Linked DNA regions of Saccharomyces cerevisiae S288C. Changing the gene in region 1 together with any one later gene gives a genetic interaction. Each region holds a gene or a part of one and is shown in the gene's direction. Other genes may lie near its edges. The genes, in order: SPT2, PRI2, UBA3 and AAH1.

Region 1 (4,146 bases):
GAACTAATAAGGAAGGCTCTTAACGAGAAAGAGGCAGAAAAAGCGCCCCTGAGTAGAAGAAGAAGAGTCAGAAGGAAGAACCAGCCCCTACCAGATGCCAAGAAGAAGTTTAAAACAGGGTTGAATGAATTGCCACGAGAAAGCGTTGTTACTGTAAACTTAGATTCTTCAGATGATGGCGTCGTTACGGTACCGACGGATGATAGTGTAGAGGAAATCCAGTCATCTGAAGAAGATTATGATTCGGAGGAATTTGAAGACGTGACAGATGGAAATGAGGTGGCCGGTGTAGAAGATATATCTGTTGAAATTAAGCCCTCTAGTAAAAGGAATAGTGATGCTAGAAGGACAAGCCGCAACGTTTGTTCTAATGAAGAACGGAAAAGGAGAAAATATTTCCACATGTTGTATCTAGTTTGCTTGATGGTTCATGGATTTATACGAAATGAATGGATTAACAGCAAGCGCTTGTCTAGAAAACTGAGCAACTTAGTTCCTGAGAAAGTGTTTGAGCTACTGCATCCTCAGAAAGATGAGGAACTCCCACTTAGGAGTACTAGGAAATTATTAGATGGGTTGAAGAAATGCATGGAGTTATGGCAAAAACACTGGAAGATCACTAAAAAATATGATAATGTGGGACTTTATATGAGAACCTGGAAAGAAATTGAAATGAGCGCCAATAACAAAAGAAAATTCAAGACGTTGAAAAGATCTGACTTTTTAAGGGCCGTCAGTAAAGGTCACGGAGATCCTGATATTTCAGTGCAAGGTTTCGTTGCGATGCTCAGGGCTTGTAATGTTAACGCACGACTTATCATGTCATGTCAACCGCCAGATTTTACCAATATGAAGATTGACACTTCTTTGAATGGAAACAATGCGTACAAAGATATGGTCAAGTATCCGATTTTTTGGTGTGAAGTGTGGGACAAATTCTCTAAGAAATGGATAACTGTTGACCCAGTAAATCTCAAAACCATTGAACAGGTCAGACTTCATTCCAAGTTGGCACCGAAAGGCGTGGCGTGCTGCGAAAGAAATATGTTGAGGTACGTGATTGCTTACGATCGGAAGTATGGCTGTAGAGATGTAACTCGAAGATATGCCCAATGGATGAACTCTAAAGTAAGAAAAAGAAGAATTACTAAAGATGACTTTGGTGAGAAATGGTTCAGAAAAGTGATAACAGCACTTCACCATAGAAAGAGAACCAAAATTGATGATTACGAAGATCAATATTTTTTTCAGAGAGATGAAAGTGAAGGCATACCAGATTCGGTGCAGGATTTGAAAAACCACCCATATTATGTTTTAGAACAAGATATCAAACAGACTCAAATTGTAAAGCCAGGATGTAAAGAGTGTGGATATTTAAAAGTACATGGAAAAGTTGGGAAGGTTTTGAAAGTTTATGCAAAAAGAGATATTGCGGATTTGAAAAGTGCTAGACAATGGTACATGAACGGCCGAATTTTAAAAACTGGTAGCAGGTGTAAAAAGGTGATAAAGAGGACAGTTGGAAGGCCTAAGGGCGAAGCAGAAGAAGAAGATGAAAGATTATATAGCTTTGAAGACACAGAATTATACATCCCTCCATTAGCCAGTGCGAGCGGTGAAATAACCAAGAATACATTTGGAAACATCGAAGTTTTTGCACCAACGATGATACCTGGTAACTGTTGTTTGGTTGAGAATCCTGTGGCAATTAAAGCTGCTAGGTTTTTGGGGGTGGAATTTGCACCTGCTGTAACTTCTTTTAAGTTTGAACGCGGCAGTACAGTTAAGCCAGTTTTAAGTGGCATTGTTGTTGCAAAGTGGCTCAGAGAAGCTATTGAAACCGCTATTGATGGAATAGAGTTTATTCAAGAGGATGATAATAGGAAGGAACATTTGCTTGGTGCTTTGGAGAGTTGGAATACTTTACTGCTAAAACTGCGTATTCGTAGCAAGCTGAACTCCACATATGGTAAAATTGCCGAGGAAGAACCTAACGTTACGAAGGAACAGAATATTGCGGACAATCACGATAATACGGAGACTTTTATGGGAGGTGGGTTCCTACCAGGTATAGCAAACCACGAAGCAAGGCCGTATAGTGAACCTTCAGAGCCAGAAGATAGTTTAGATTATGTTTCTGTTGACAAAGCGGAGGAAAGTGCTACAGACGACGATGTCGGGGAGGATTATTCGGATTTTATGAAAGAACTAGAGATGTCAGAGGAATCAGACTGAAATGAGGCTGAAACGGTTTGAATAATTAGGAAAGTATGTTTTTAATAAAGAAATTCTATGTTCAGGAATTTTGTATATACTTTGTAATGAATGAGAACTTAGTTGGCTTCAAACTTTTTCGTTTAACATGATTATTTTTCTTGTTCGACTAAGATATTCCCACATGGACAAGTGCCACAGATTAATATATGAATACAATAAAATAACTAGTGTAATTTGAAAATAAAAGTTGATGAGAGGGACAGGGACTTGAGTCCTATTCAAAGTGAAATATTTTAGTTATGAGTTTTCTTTCCAAACTTTCCCAAATACGAAAATCAACGACTGCATCAAAAGCCCAAGTGCAAGATCCATTACCCAAGAAGAATGACGAAGAGTATTCCTTGTTACCCAAAAATTACATAAGAGACGAAGATCCTGCAGTAAAAAGATTGAAGGAGCTGAGGCGGCAGGAACTGTTAAAGAATGGTGCTTTGGCTAAAAAAAGTGGTGTAAAACGGAAACGTGGCACCTCATCTGGATCTGAGAAAAAGAAAATAGAAAGGAATGACGATGATGAAGGTGGCCTTGGAATTAGGTTTAAGAGGTCTATTGGAGCAAGTCATGCGCCACTCAAGCCAGTTGTAAGGAAGAAACCTGAACCTATCAAAAAGATGTCATTTGAAGAGCTAATGAAACAAGCGGAAAATAATGAGAAACAGCCCCCAAAAGTTAAGTCATCGGAACCCGTAACTAAGGAACGCCCACATTTTAACAAGCCAGGTTTCAAAAGTTCAAAAAGACCACAAAAGAAAGCATCCCCTGGCGCAACATTGCGTGGAGTATCTTCTGGAGGCAATAGCATAAAATCATCAGACTCACCCAAGCCCGTCAAGCTCAACTTGCCCACAAATGGATTTGCTCAACCTAATAGGAGATTAAAAGAAAAGTTAGAATCTAGAAAACAGAAATCAAGATACCAGGATGACTATGATGAAGAAGATAACGATATGGATGATTTTATAGAAGACGATGAAGATGAAGGTTACCACAGCAAATCGAAACACAGCAATGGTCCCGGATATGATCGTGACGAAATTTGGGCTATGTTCAATAGAGGCAAGAAGCGGTCAGAATACGATTACGATGAGCTTGAGGATGATGATATGGAAGCAAATGAGATGGAAATCTTGGAAGAGGAGGAAATGGCAAGAAAAATGGCAAGGTTAGAGGATAAACGTGAGGAAGCTTGGTTAAAAAAGCATGAAGAGGAGAAGAGACGCCGTAAGAAGGGCATACGCTAAGGAATATTGATATATGTTTTGATATATGGACGTGAAATGACTAATGAAGTCGTAGAGAGTTTGGGAACTGTTTCGAGGCACTGTTTCACTTCTTACATTCATTTTCATACCCTTTGTAATTGCGTTTTCCATTTATCCAGTTTGCCTGTCCGATTTTCAAACGTACAGTGATGATATGCATCAGTTGGGTTAGAACATTTATATTGTGTATCGCCCATAATTCTATAAACTTTACTATGTAAAAATAAAAATGAACCTTCACTATTCTTTCAAGACGGACTGAAAATTTAAAGACTTGGTTGTTGCAGTTGATCGATTATACAAGACTAACAATTCCAGTATCATTTTTGCCTTAATTTGAGACCTTTTTCAACAAGATTCGCGGCAACGTAGTTGTATTTTTTTTTTTCCACAACCCGTTTCCTTACAAAAGCATTCGGAAACTAAACATAAATATGGACCAGCTTTACAAGAGCTATGGTATGTTCATATTATTAGGATATATTAGGTGAGATATTAAAAAATGAAACAAATTGTGTCACCAGTTAGATAGGATTCAAGTAGTCATTAAAATAGAAACAAGCGTTTAGGGTATGCGTTAAAAGAAACTCTAGCAACCTCCAATTGC
Region 2 (4,669 bases), on another chromosome or scaffold:
TCAATCCACAGGTATGACCATCAGTACCTCCAGAACATGATTTCGCGGCCGCAATGGCAGATGTATTCAACCAAGACATAATTTGGTTCCTAGTTTCTGGCACTAGTTGTGCAGTGACACCTAAGAAACGGGCAAAATAGGCTTTGAAGGAACGTTGATCTGTATTACAAGAATTTGGACCTTGACAAGCAGCTTCATACACAATACCATCATGGAAAAACACTTGGGAAGCGTTCAAAAACTCTTTGGTTCTTGTGTGCCAGAGGTCTGATCCCGTAAAGTTGTAAAGGTAGGCAGAGCCAGCCAACAGCAAACCTTGATTATATGTCCATTGATATGAGGTCACTTTGGTGCAATTATCATCAATGCTGACACCATCGTAAACATACTTATAGGTACCATTAGAAATTAAGTTCACACCGACCATCCACTCGTAAACTTTTTCGGCCCAGTCAACATATGTTTGATTACCTGTATATCTTGCTAATCTTGCAGCTATGTGAAACAAGGCACCGTTAGAAACGGTGTTCTTGTAATCGTAACCAGAGTTCCAAACGAAAATTTGCCACCTCAAACCACCACCACAGGAATCGGCATCCCAACGCAAAGCCATGGTATTGAAAACAGCCTGTGCTAAATATAGCCATTGAGGCTCATTCTCGGGAGGATTAGTAAAGTTTCTCTCCGCGGCAGTCATAGCAGCAATACCCCAAAAGGCTTGGTCATCATTACCTTCAGTGGTAGATTGATTTAGCGGAATATAGTCATTATCATCACCAGCTTGATGTATCATTGCTGCTATAATTTCATCATTATAGGTGTCGTTATCCATGAAAAACCAGTAATCTAGCATACAGCCCCAGGCACCACCGGCTTCCCACCAATAGTACGGATCTGAAAACATACCGACCGTCTTACCATACTGATTACCAGTGTAATAATCCATTAAACCGTAGGCAATTAGTGAAGTAGCATTTTGCAAAGATTCGTAGTTGTCTAGATCCAATTCGACGGCATTTGTAAATCTTGTTGCGAAGAGTACACCCAGTAACCCTATCACTTTATTTACTAGCATTTTTATGTGTTCGTTTTTAAAACAGACTGAAAAGAAAGAAAGCTCAGAAAAAAAGTGGTGTGTATTTTGTTGTATCCACTATTATATGTCCTGGAAAGGTTTCCCTAGCGTTTTGACCCTTTCGTATCTTGTAATTTAAGCCTCTTTTTACCAAAAATCCTCCCGTTCGCACACCTATTAAGCTGCTTATAAAATATGAGTATCAACACAGTAACAGTGAATATATAATAGATGAGCCCATTATACAAAGAGTACCTATGATCATCATGAAATCCGAGCTTTATTTCCATCTGCCAGTTTTCTTTCTGGATGTACGAAATTAAATCGCGCCTCGAACGGGTGCAAAACCGGGTGACGGGACACCGCTACGAATATAGTACGATACACTTATACATATATGGAAGCATTTATAGCGTATATTCATCGTACGGTACATTCTTTAAATAAATGATTGAATTTTTCTGAACCAACAGTTATAAGCTGAGATCCAGTGCGTTCATGAAACGGAACATCTTACATCATCAAGAGCCCAGAAGCACGGCGTAGGATTGTTTCCGCTGCTACAGACAGACATGGAAACACTGTTTTTATCAGGCCAAAGGTGATACGACAGGTCTCTTCTTGTTTCAATATTGCCTTACATATCTGCTGCTCACTCTATTTGCTTTTTCCTGCTCATTTATAGTTAACTTGATTTGAAATTACGCGTCGCGGGGAATCGCGTAAAACTCGATATTAAATCCTGTGATTTTGCAAAAGTAAATTTTTTACTATCTACATCTCTCCAATTTGCACAACTTTGACAGGACTGATAACTACCCAGGTGGAGCAACCAGTGACAGCAGGTAAAGCACAATAAGGAGAAGAAATGTTCAGGCAGTCAAAAAGAAGAATTGCCTCAAGGAAGAATTTTAGTTCATACGATGATATTGTCAAAAGCGAATTGGACGTAGGCAACACAAATGCAGCTAACCAGATCATCTTAAGTTCAAGTTCATCTGAAGAAGAGAAAAAACTTTACGCTAGGCTGTATGAGTCTAAATTATCATTTTACGATTTACCACCACAGGGAGAAATAACGTTGGAACAATTTGAGATCTGGGCAATCGATCGTCTCAAAATTCTGTTAGAGATCGAATCTTGCCTTTCAAGAAACAAATCGATCAAAGAAATTGAAACCATTATCAAGCCGCAGTTCCAAAAACTACTGCCTTTCAACACAGAGAGTTTAGAAGACAGAAAAAAGGATTACTACTCTCATTTCATTTTAAGATTGTGCTTTTGTCGTTCAAAAGAACTGCGGGAAAAATTCGTCAGGGCTGAAACGTTTTTGTTCAAAATTAGATTTAACATGCTAACCTCCACCGATCAAACAAAATTTGTTCAATCATTGGACTTACCCTTACTACAGTTTATCTCAAATGAAGAAAAGGCCGAATTATCTCATCAGTTGTATCAAACAGTTTCTGCGTCTCTACAGTTCCAATTGAATTTAAACGAGGAACATCAAAGAAAACAGTATTTCCAACAGGAAAAATTCATAAAATTACCTTTCGAAAATGTGATAGAACTGGTAGGAAACCGTTTAGTGTTTTTGAAGGACGGGTACGCATATTTACCACAATTCCAGCAATTGAATTTACTTTCTAATGAGTTTGCTAGCAAATTGAACCAGGAGTTAATAAAAACGTACCAGTACTTACCAAGACTGAATGAGGATGACCGGTTGTTACCAATTCTAAATCATCTTTCGTCGGGGTACACTATCGCGGATTTCAACCAGCAAAAGGCAAACCAATTCAGTGAGAACGTAGATGATGAGATTAATGCGCAAAGTGTCTGGTCTGAAGAGATTAGCTCAAACTATCCGCTATGTATCAAAAACCTGATGGAGGGTCTTAAAAAGAACCATCATTTGAGGTATTATGGGAGACAACAACTGAGTCTGTTTTTGAAAGGTATCGGCCTGAGCGCTGATGAAGCGTTAAAATTTTGGTCTGAGGCATTTACAAGAAATGGGAACATGACAATGGAGAAGTTCAATAAAGAATACCGTTACAGCTTCAGGCATAATTACGGTCTTGAAGGTAACAGAATCAACTACAAACCATGGGACTGTCACACTATCCTTTCCAAGCCCAGACCTGGGCGCGGAGATTATCATGGATGCCCTTTCCGTGATTGGAGTCACGAGAGACTATCTGCAGAATTGCGCTCTATGAAGTTGACCCAAGCGCAGATCATCAGTGTTCTGGATTCCTGCCAGAAAGGTGAATACACAATTGCTTGCACTAAAGTGTTTGAAATGACACACAACTCTGCATCAGCGGATTTGGAAATTGGCGAGCAAACGCATATCGCGCATCCTAACCTATACTTCGAAAGATCAAGGCAACTGCAAAAGAAACAGCAGAAGCTGGAAAAGGAAAAACTATTCAATAATGGTAATCATTAGTGCAGAAAGGGAAAAGGAAAAAAGCGAAGAGATAACTAAAAAGGATTAATAGTATACGTAATTTAGTCTACTGTAAGTATGGTCAAAAATTTTCTTTAGTGAGAAAAAAAAAAAAAAAGAGAAACGATAAACGCTGTACAATACCAGTGACTGCACTGCTCCGAAAACGTCCGAGATATGTATATTGTCCGAATTTTTTCATACTTTAATAGCTGGCCAGAGAAACCTTATAATTTTGTGGCTGCAAGCTATCGCGCTGTTCCTCTGTGACAGGCAACACAGAACAACTAACCGCCTGTCTTTTATGCCTGTACACTTCATTAAAATTTACCGTTTTCTTCCATTACAAGCGGGGACACTTTCCGTTTAAACCTGCAATATGTTGCAGGGCCTATCCACGCCAATTTACTGTGGCAGAAGTTACTGCAGTGGAAGAACTACCTTTTCCAGCATAGCCTCCGCCACCAAAAAATGCAGGTGCTGCGTTTTCTGGATACGTGGCTGGCCTTTAAAACGCATGGGAGGGACAGTATCTCACCGATTTGGTAATGCCGTGATGCAACCTCGAGGATCCGGTTTTCAAGAGCGGAAGTAAAAAACCGGGAAGATCTAATATTTCCTTATGCAGGTATTCTGTGACTAAAAAGTATAGAAGACTATTTTGCACCGCTCCCTGATTAGACTTCGTGCGATATTATTGATGGATATCGTCTTTATCTTTCCGTGGACCTAAAACGGCACCCCTTCGTCTAGGATAAACGCGGTCGGCTCTTTCGAAGACTAAAAAAGCAGCCACAATAACGTTACATGCAAAATCAGCCCACTCGAAGTTAGATACTGCGTAGACGGATTTGCACGATGCGATGATAAATATTAGGGACAGTGCGTGCCCACCCATAAGTTGCTGTAGAGCTTACAAATTGTAAAGACTAATTCCAATCGCACGCCCACCCCTCACGGGAATAAGTTAGAATGTTGCGGAATGAACGATAACTTCATATTAGGTAAAAGGGAAGAATGCAACGCTGCGGTCTACGGGCTTTTTTCTGCGAGACCAATTTTCTTCTTTTGTTTTTTTATTTCGATATTTAGTTTTCATGCAAACGGGTATTATTCTTGACAGGCCATTATGTAAGAGT
Region 3 (4,009 bases), on another chromosome or scaffold:
CCTATCTCCTTTGTTCGTGCAAAGAGACAGGAACACACACTGCGTTCTCTTGCGGCCGGTCTGGCGGACTCAGGGGTGCGGCGTTTGCTTAACCGGAGGGAATAATAAAATCGGGGTGACGCAAGTATGAAGTCATGTGTGCTTAGCAATTACGTAGAGGGATTAGAAATAATAGTGTGCGGTTATCGGAACCGGCTCTTGTTCCCGTTTAGAGCAACCCAGGTGCAGGCGTACTTTAAAGTATTTTCTTTCTTTTTTTTCCTGCTACTTACGCTAGGAGCTGCCGCAGCTGCAAAGCCGACGTCGGAGAGGCAGGTGATCTTCGGCTCGGCCGACAAATCCCCTGGATATCATTGGCCTGTCGAGGTATCGGCCGCGTGGAACTACCGGGAATTACTATGCAAAACAATTGGAAATCTGGTAGGAAAACCTTGTTCTAGAACTTGGCGATTGCTGACAAAGAAGAAAAGGGCCTATTGTTGCTGCCTCTTTTGTTGTTCTTCCTCGTATTGTCTTGCCGGTGTTCTTTGTGTCTTTTGTGTGTAGGTTCTTACTATTATAGTGCTCTTTGCTATTATATTTTCTTCGTTTTCACTTTGCGTAATGTAACGGTCTTAAACAAAGTTTTTTTTTTTTCGCTCTTGCATTTTCCTTTTCTGCTCTATCTTATTTGCTAATTGTAGTTTCAGAAGTTTTACTTAAATATAGCACTATTTTCCAGTTTTAATGTTTCTTCTCATTGCTTTCTTTTATAATTTTCGCATATAATTATACATTTACGGTGTCTTAACTCTCCCTCTTCACCCCTCATTATTCCAGAAAATACTAATACTTCTTCACACAAAAGAACGCAGTTAGACAATCAACAATGAATCCTAAATCCTCTACACCTAAGATTCCAAGACCCAAGAACGCATTTATTCTGTTCAGACAGCACTACCACAGGATCTTAATAGACGAATGGACCGCTCAAGGTGTGGAAATACCCCATAATTCAAACATTTCTAAAATTATTGGTACGAAGTGGAAGGGCTTACAACCGGAAGATAAGGCACACTGGGAAAATCTAGCGGAGAAGGAGAAACTAGAACATGAAAGGAAGTATCCTGAATACAAATACAAGCCGGTAAGAAAGTCTAAGAAGAAGCAACTACTTTTGAAGGAAATCGAGCAACAGCAGCAGCAACAACAGAAAGAACAGCAGCAGCAGAAACAGTCACAACCGCAATTACAACAGCCCTTTAACAACAATATAGTTCTTATGAAAAGAGCACATTCTCTTTCACCATCTTCCTCGGTGTCAAGCTCGAACAGCTATCAGTTCCAATTGAACAATGATCTTAAGAGGTTGCCTATTCCTTCTGTTAATACTTCTAACTATATGGTCTCCAGATCTTTAAGTGGACTACCTTTGACGCATGATAAGACGGCAAGAGACCTACCACAGCTGTCATCTCAACTAAATTCTATTCCATATTACTCAGCTCCACACGACCCTTCAACGAGACATCATTACCTCAACGTCGCTCAAGCTCAACCAAGGGCTAACTCGACCCCTCAATTGCCCTTTATTTCATCCATTATCAACAACAGCAGTCAAACACCGGTAACTACAACTACCACATCCACAACAACTGCGACATCTTCTCCTGGGAAATTCTCCTCTTCTCCGAACTCCTCTGTACTGGAGAACAACAGATTAAACAGTATCAACAATTCAAATCAATATTTACCTCCCCCTCTATTACCTTCTCTGCAAGATTTTCAACTGGATCAGTACCAGCAGCTAAAGCAGATGGGACCAACTTATATTGTCAAACCACTGTCTCACACCAGGAACAATCTATTGTCCACAACTACCCCTACGCATCATCACATTCCTCATATACCAAACCAAAACATTCCTCTACATCAAATTATAAACTCAAGCAACACTGAGGTCACCGCTAAAACTAGCCTAGTTTCTCCGAAATGATTTTTTTTTTCCATTTCTTCTTTCCGTTATATTATATTATACTATATTCCCTTTAACTAAAAATTTATGCATTTGGCTCCTGTTTAATAAAAGTTTAAATCGCCTCAAAAGAACAATTGAAAAATATGTAAAATAACAGCAAATAAAAGTCAAAATTAAAACAAAGTACCCAGAGACAAAAAAGAAAGAAAAGAAAAAAGAAACAGTCTACAAATTCTATTTGAATATATAAAATTATATTCTCAATTTTCACGTATATATTCACCTCACAAATAATATCATTCCTTTAAAAAAAAATATGTATTATTGTATAATGTTTCAGCATAGTCGTTTTTTAAGCCCTTTTTTTTAAACTTAAAAAACAAATCAATGAGATATTGTATACCTATATTATCGATAATAAAGCGACGAGGATGGACTGCAAGATATTGGTGTTAGGCGCAGGTGGTCTAGGATGCGAAATCCTGAAGAATTTGACAATGTTAAGCTTTGTTAAACAGGTTCATATTGTAGATATAGACACAATCGAGCTAACCAACCTTAATAGACAATTTCTTTTTTGTGATAAGGACATAGGCAAACCGAAAGCTCAAGTGGCAGCCCAGTATGTAAACACGCGGTTCCCTCAATTGGAAGTTGTGGCGCACGTACAGGACCTGACCACTTTGCCCCCGAGCTTTTACAAAGACTTCCAGTTCATAATCTCGGGGCTGGACGCCATTGAACCTCGTCGCTTCATCAATGAGACTCTCGTGAAGCTTACCTTGGAGTCCAATTATGAAATTTGCATCCCGTTCATAGATGGTGGAACAGAGGGGCTCAAGGGACATGTAAAAACAATCATTCCAGGCATCACTGCATGCTGGGAGTGCTCCATTGATACCTTGCCCTCGCAGCAGGATACTGTGCCAATGTGTACAATCGCCAACAATCCTCGCTGCATTGAGCATGTTGTGGAGTATGTCTCAACTATACAATACCCTGATTTAAATATTGAGTCTACGGCGGATATGGAATTTCTGCTGGAGAAGTGCTGCGAAAGGGCTGCCCAATTTAGCATCTCAACAGAAAAATTATCAACAAGTTTTATCCTGGGTATAATAAAGAGTATCATACCTAGTGTAAGCACTACGAATGCGATGGTTGCAGCGACATGCTGTACGCAGATGGTTAAGATTTATAATGATTTAATCGACCTGGAAAACGGCAATAATTTCACTTTGATTAACTGCTCAGAAGGGTGTTTTATGTACAGTTTCAAGTTCGAGCGGTTACCCGACTGTACTGTTTGTTCAAATTCCAATTCCAACTAGTATTACTAATGAATAATACCATCCGCCGGTGTCACTTGTTTAAACATCTTGCAAGTAAGTCGAGATCCTAGAGAGCCTTGTACATGTGATTGCACAGTAAAGAAGGTATGCAGGCTAAATTATTGTTTACCAGACTAAACTTTAGACGTCCCTCCACAACTTTACGCCAGTTTCCCCTAACATGTTTTTTATTTCATAGCAAAGCATTTTACTCGGATCTGGTCACTAAGGAGCCGTTGATCACACCGAAAAGAATAATAAATAAGACGCCTGGGTTAAACTTATCTATTTCTGAGAGGGCTTCCAACAGACTAGCTGAGATCTACCGCAATAGTAAGGAAAATTTAAGAATTAGTGTGGAAAGTGGTGGATGTCACGGTTTCCAGTACAATCTAACTCTAGAACCCGCTACCAAGCCAGATATTAAGAATGATGTCAAAGACAAGGAGTTTTCAGACGACCTTGACGATGATGATTCCAAGGATATAATATACGTGTTACCCGAAGATAAGGGTCGAGTGATAATTGATAGTAAATCACTAAACATTTTGAATAACACTACACTGACATACACTAATGAGTTGATCGGTTCTTCGTTCAAAATCATCAATGGTAGCCTAAAAAGTAGTTGTGGTTGTGGAAGTAGTTTTGATATTGAAAATTAAGCTGTATTATATTCATCCCTGTATATAGCATGCCCAGCTGCCAAGCATTTTTTTAC
Region 4 (3,949 bases), on another chromosome or scaffold:
GGTTTATTATATTCTGGTTTATCCAGGAAAAAGCATGCTTTATCCTTGCTTTGGGCCTCGATGATGGCTTCCGCCGTGTGTATTTTCCAATGGTTTTTCTGGGGATACTCATTAGCTTTCTCACACAACACTAGAGGTAACGGTTTTATTGGTACCTTGGAATTCTTTGGGTTTCGTAACGTTTTAGGAGCCCCATCTAGTGTCAGTTCTCTTCCCGATATACTGTTTGCCGTTTACCAAGGTATGTTTGCCGCAGTCACCGGTGCCCTAATGCTAGGTGGTGCCTGCGAGAGGGCAAGGTTGTTTCCTATGATGGTGTTCTTGTTTTTATGGATGACTATTGTTTATTGTCCTATTGCATGCTGGGTCTGGAATGCCGAGGGTTGGTTGGTCAAATTGGGTAGCTTGGACTATGCAGGTGGTTTATGTGTCCATTTAACATCTGGACATGGTGGTCTAGTTTACGCTTTGATACTGGGTAAGCGTAATGACCCTGTTACACGTAAAGGGATGCCCAAGTACAAACCACATTCCGTCACCTCGGTGGTTTTAGGCACAGTGTTCTTATGGTTTGGTTGGATGTTCTTTAACGGAGGCTCTGCAGGTAATGCAACTATACGAGCATGGTACTCTATTATGTCCACAAACTTAGCTGCTGCTTGCGGTGGCTTGACATGGATGGTTATCGATTATTTCAGATGCGGAAGAAAGTGGACTACAGTTGGTTTGTGTTCAGGTATCATCGCTGGCCTAGTGGGTATCACCCCAGCCGCCGGGTTCGTGCCAATCTGGTCAGCCGTTGTCATTGGTGTGGTTACTGGTGCAGGATGTAACCTTGCTGTTGACTTAAAGAGTCTATTGCGCATCGATGATGGTCTAGATTGTTACTCTATCCATGGTGTGGGTGGTTGTATTGGTTCTGTATTAACTGGTATCTTTGCTGCAGACTATGTAAATGCCACTGCAGGCTCTTACATTAGTCCAATTGATGGTGGCTGGATCAATCATCACTATAAACAAGTTGGTTATCAATTAGCAGGTATATGCGCTGCACTAGCCTGGACTGTTACTGTCACATCTATCTTGCTTCTAACTATGAATGCCATTCCATTTTTAAAACTAAGATTAAGTGCTGATGAGGAAGAATTAGGTACCGACGCTGCTCAAATTGGTGAATTTACATACGAGGAATCCACTGCTTACATCCCAGAACCAATCAGATCTAAAACATCGGCACAAATGCCACCTCCTCATGAAAACATTGATGATAAGATTGTGGGTAACACAGACGCAGAAAAGAATTCTACGCCTTCCGACGCTTCTTCTACTAAGAACACTGACCATATAGTATAATGATATACTCAAGCAGACTATGATTTTATGTTTAATCTTTATGTAACGCTTCATTTAATAATTTTATTTTTAATATTTGATATATTTTCTTTTTTTGATAACTCCGAATGATGAGGGGAGACGTTAGTATTACTTCTCTTGTCTTATGTTATTATCATAATCGATGACTTTAACTGTGCACACTATAATATACAGCATCTCCAGAGCATGATAGCAAGAAATTTTCTTTAAGAAAGCCTCTATATACCCTATATATGCTGTTAACAGGAAAAGAGCACAAGGTTTATTTTGCTTTGGTTGCAAATTTTCATCGCTTATAGAAGACATATTTTGATGTAAAAACCTTGATATACTTCCTTTTTGCCTTATCTTTCACTGTTTCCATCTCTTTTCTTTTTTTTTTTTTTTTTTTTTTTTTTTTTTTTTTTTTTTTTTGAATCTTAAAATTCTCGAAACTGCACTGAAATGGCGCAGGAAACTGACCTCATCGCATGCCAACGAAGATTGAAAAAAATTAACATATAAGGCTTATGAAAGCGACATCTTTTGCAAATGAATAATTGACAAGCAGGCCTGTGTATTTATAGTTATTTTGAAATAATAACTACCATTAGAACTAACAAAAGAAAAGAAAAAAAAAATAATGGTTTCTGTGGAGTTTTTACAGGAGTTACCAAAATGTGAGCATCACTTGCATTTGGAAGGTACTCTAGAACCTGACCTATTGTTCCCATTAGCTAAAAGAAACGATATAATTCTACCTGAAGGTTTTCCTAAATCGGTCGAGGAATTAAACGAAAAGTATAAGAAGTTTCGTGATCTGCAGGATTTCTTAGATTACTATTATATTGGTACTAATGTCTTGATTAGTGAACAAGATTTCTTTGATTTGGCGTGGGCCTATTTTAAAAAAGTTCACAAACAAGGCTTGGTCCATGCTGAAGTGTTTTACGACCCTCAGTCACATACATCTAGGGGCATCTCCATAGAAACAGTCACTAAAGGTTTCCAAAGAGCTTGTGACAAAGCCTTCTCTGAATTTGGTATTACATCCAAGCTAATTATGTGTCTGTTAAGACACATTGAACCAGAGGAATGTTTGAAAACTATCGAAGAAGCTACCCCATTTATTAAAGATGGTACTATCTCTGCCTTAGGATTAGATTCTGCTGAGAAACCATTTCCCCCACATTTATTTGTTGAATGTTACGGAAAGGCCGCCTCATTGAATAAAGATTTAAAACTAACTGCACACGCAGGTGAAGAAGGCCCCGCTCAATTCGTCTCGGATGCTTTAGACTTGTTGCAAGTAACAAGAATCGATCACGGTATCAACAGTCAATACGACGAGGAGTTATTGGATAGGTTGTCGCGCGACCAGACCATGCTAACTATTTGTCCTCTCTCCAACGTGAAGCTACAAGTAGTCCAATCCGTTTCAGAGTTACCACTACAAAAGTTTCTTGACAGAGATGTTCCATTTTCTTTAAATTCTGATGACCCCGCCTATTTTGGTGGTTATATCTTAGATGTCTACACTCAAGTTTCGAAAGATTTCCCACACTGGGACCATGAAACATGGGGTCGTATCGCTAAGAACGCCATTAAAGGTTCATGGTGTGACGATAAAAGAAAGAACGGTTTGTTAAGTAGAGTGGACGAAGTAGTCACTAAATATTCGCATTAGTACCATTTGCAAGACATTGTATAATATTTTTGTTGAAAGTCTTTTTCGATTCATAAGCGCTTTTTTGTAAATTTATAACACTATGTGTATGCACAAATTTCATTCGATGTTTTTGATGCTTTTTACATCCCCTTTTGTGTGGGAAAGGATACAATAGAATTCTACAAACTTATTTGAGTGATTATACGAGCATTAGCTGGACCTTTTGTATTTCACGAGATTACAATTCGGGAACTATCAAAGTACACGTTAAAATTCAGCTCGGGTATGTTAAGTACTAGTAATTACCTCTGGTACCTACTGACGTAATTCCCACCCTTGGGACCTTGCGGAAGCGCCTGAGTATTGCTCTTTCTATTTCCGTTGTACCTTTGATTTTCATTGGCTCTATGGGCAGCACCGCTATCTCGTGTATTTCTATAATCTTGCGTTTGAAATTTGTTTCTAATTGTTTCATCCTTCTTGAATCTTTTATTCGGCTTTTCTTCATTTTCTGAAGGCGAGTCGCGCTTGTAAGATGAAGCTTGGTAAGGGTTGGCTTTGCTGCTGTCTTTGCCCTCTTGAAATGGCTTTTCAGGAAACCGTAATTGTGAACGTTGTGAACTGTTTTTCTTATACTCTTCACGTAAGCGGTTATCCCTTTGATCAAAACCATCGCCCCTGTCCGGACCTGTGGGTCTAAGTGCCCTACTTCTATCATTATATGTTTTACTTTTACTAGGTCTAGTTGGTAGTTCTGACCTTTTATGTGCATAACTACTGATTGGCTTAATATTTTTGGGTGCAGAACGATCATTGCTTGGTCCTCTATAGTTGGAACTACCATAACCATCTTTGCCTCCAGCATTTCCGCTGTACCTACTTGATCTTTTGGTATATTCAGGAGCAGCAGCTTCAGAATATGAGCTA

Evidence for each region.
Region 2: mutations in SPT2 (region 1) and PRI2 together harm fitness more than expected from each alone (negative genetic interaction), as found in Saccharomyces cerevisiae (2 studies listed by BioGRID).
Region 3: mutations in SPT2 (region 1) and UBA3 together harm fitness more than expected from each alone (negative genetic interaction), as found in Saccharomyces cerevisiae (2 studies listed by BioGRID).
Region 4: mutations in SPT2 (region 1) and AAH1 together harm fitness more than expected from each alone (negative genetic interaction), as found in Saccharomyces cerevisiae (2 studies listed by BioGRID).

Annotation. Positions count from the first base shown.
Region 1 is NC_001137.3:498,719-502,864, reverse strand, and holds SPT2 (Spt2p), read left to right. Parts: upstream 1-2,516; coding exon 2,517-3,518; downstream 3,519-4,146. Other genes in the region: RAD4 (Rad4p), read left to right, coding at 1-2,235. UniProt on the Saccharomyces cerevisiae protein: Histone chaperone that stabilizes pre-existing histone tetramers and regulates replication-independent histone exchange on chromatin.
Region 2 is NC_001143.9:351,550-356,218, forward strand, and holds PRI2 (DNA primase subunit PRI2), read left to right. Parts: upstream 1-1,943; coding exon 1,944-3,530; downstream 3,531-4,669. Other genes in the region: DCW1 (putative mannan endo-1,6-alpha-mannosidase), read right to left, coding at 1-1,075. UniProt on the Saccharomyces cerevisiae protein: DNA primase is the polymerase that synthesizes small RNA primers for the Okazaki fragments made during discontinuous DNA replication. In a complex with DNA polymerase alpha (DNA polymerase alpha:primase) constitutes a replicative polymerase.
Region 3 is NC_001148.4:678,825-682,833, forward strand, and holds UBA3 (NEDD8-activating protein UBA3), read left to right. Parts: upstream 1-2,388; coding exon 2,389-3,288; downstream 3,289-4,009. Other genes in the region: YPR064W (uncharacterized protein), read left to right, coding at 127-546; ROX1 (Rox1p), read left to right, coding at 869-1,975; ISA2 (Isa2p), read left to right, coding at 3,396-3,953. UniProt on the Saccharomyces cerevisiae protein: Catalytic subunit of the dimeric UBA3-ULA1 E1 enzyme.
Region 4 is NC_001146.8:357,600-361,548, forward strand, and holds AAH1 (adenine deaminase), read left to right. Parts: upstream 1-1,996; coding exon 1,997-3,040; downstream 3,041-3,949. Other genes in the region: ammonium permease MEP2, read left to right, coding at 1-1,353; YNL140C (uncharacterized protein), read right to left, coding at 3,318-3,887; THO2 (Tho2p), read right to left, coding at 3,325-3,949. UniProt on the Saccharomyces cerevisiae protein: Catalyzes the hydrolytic deamination of adenine to hypoxanthine. Plays an important role in the purine salvage pathway and in nitrogen catabolism.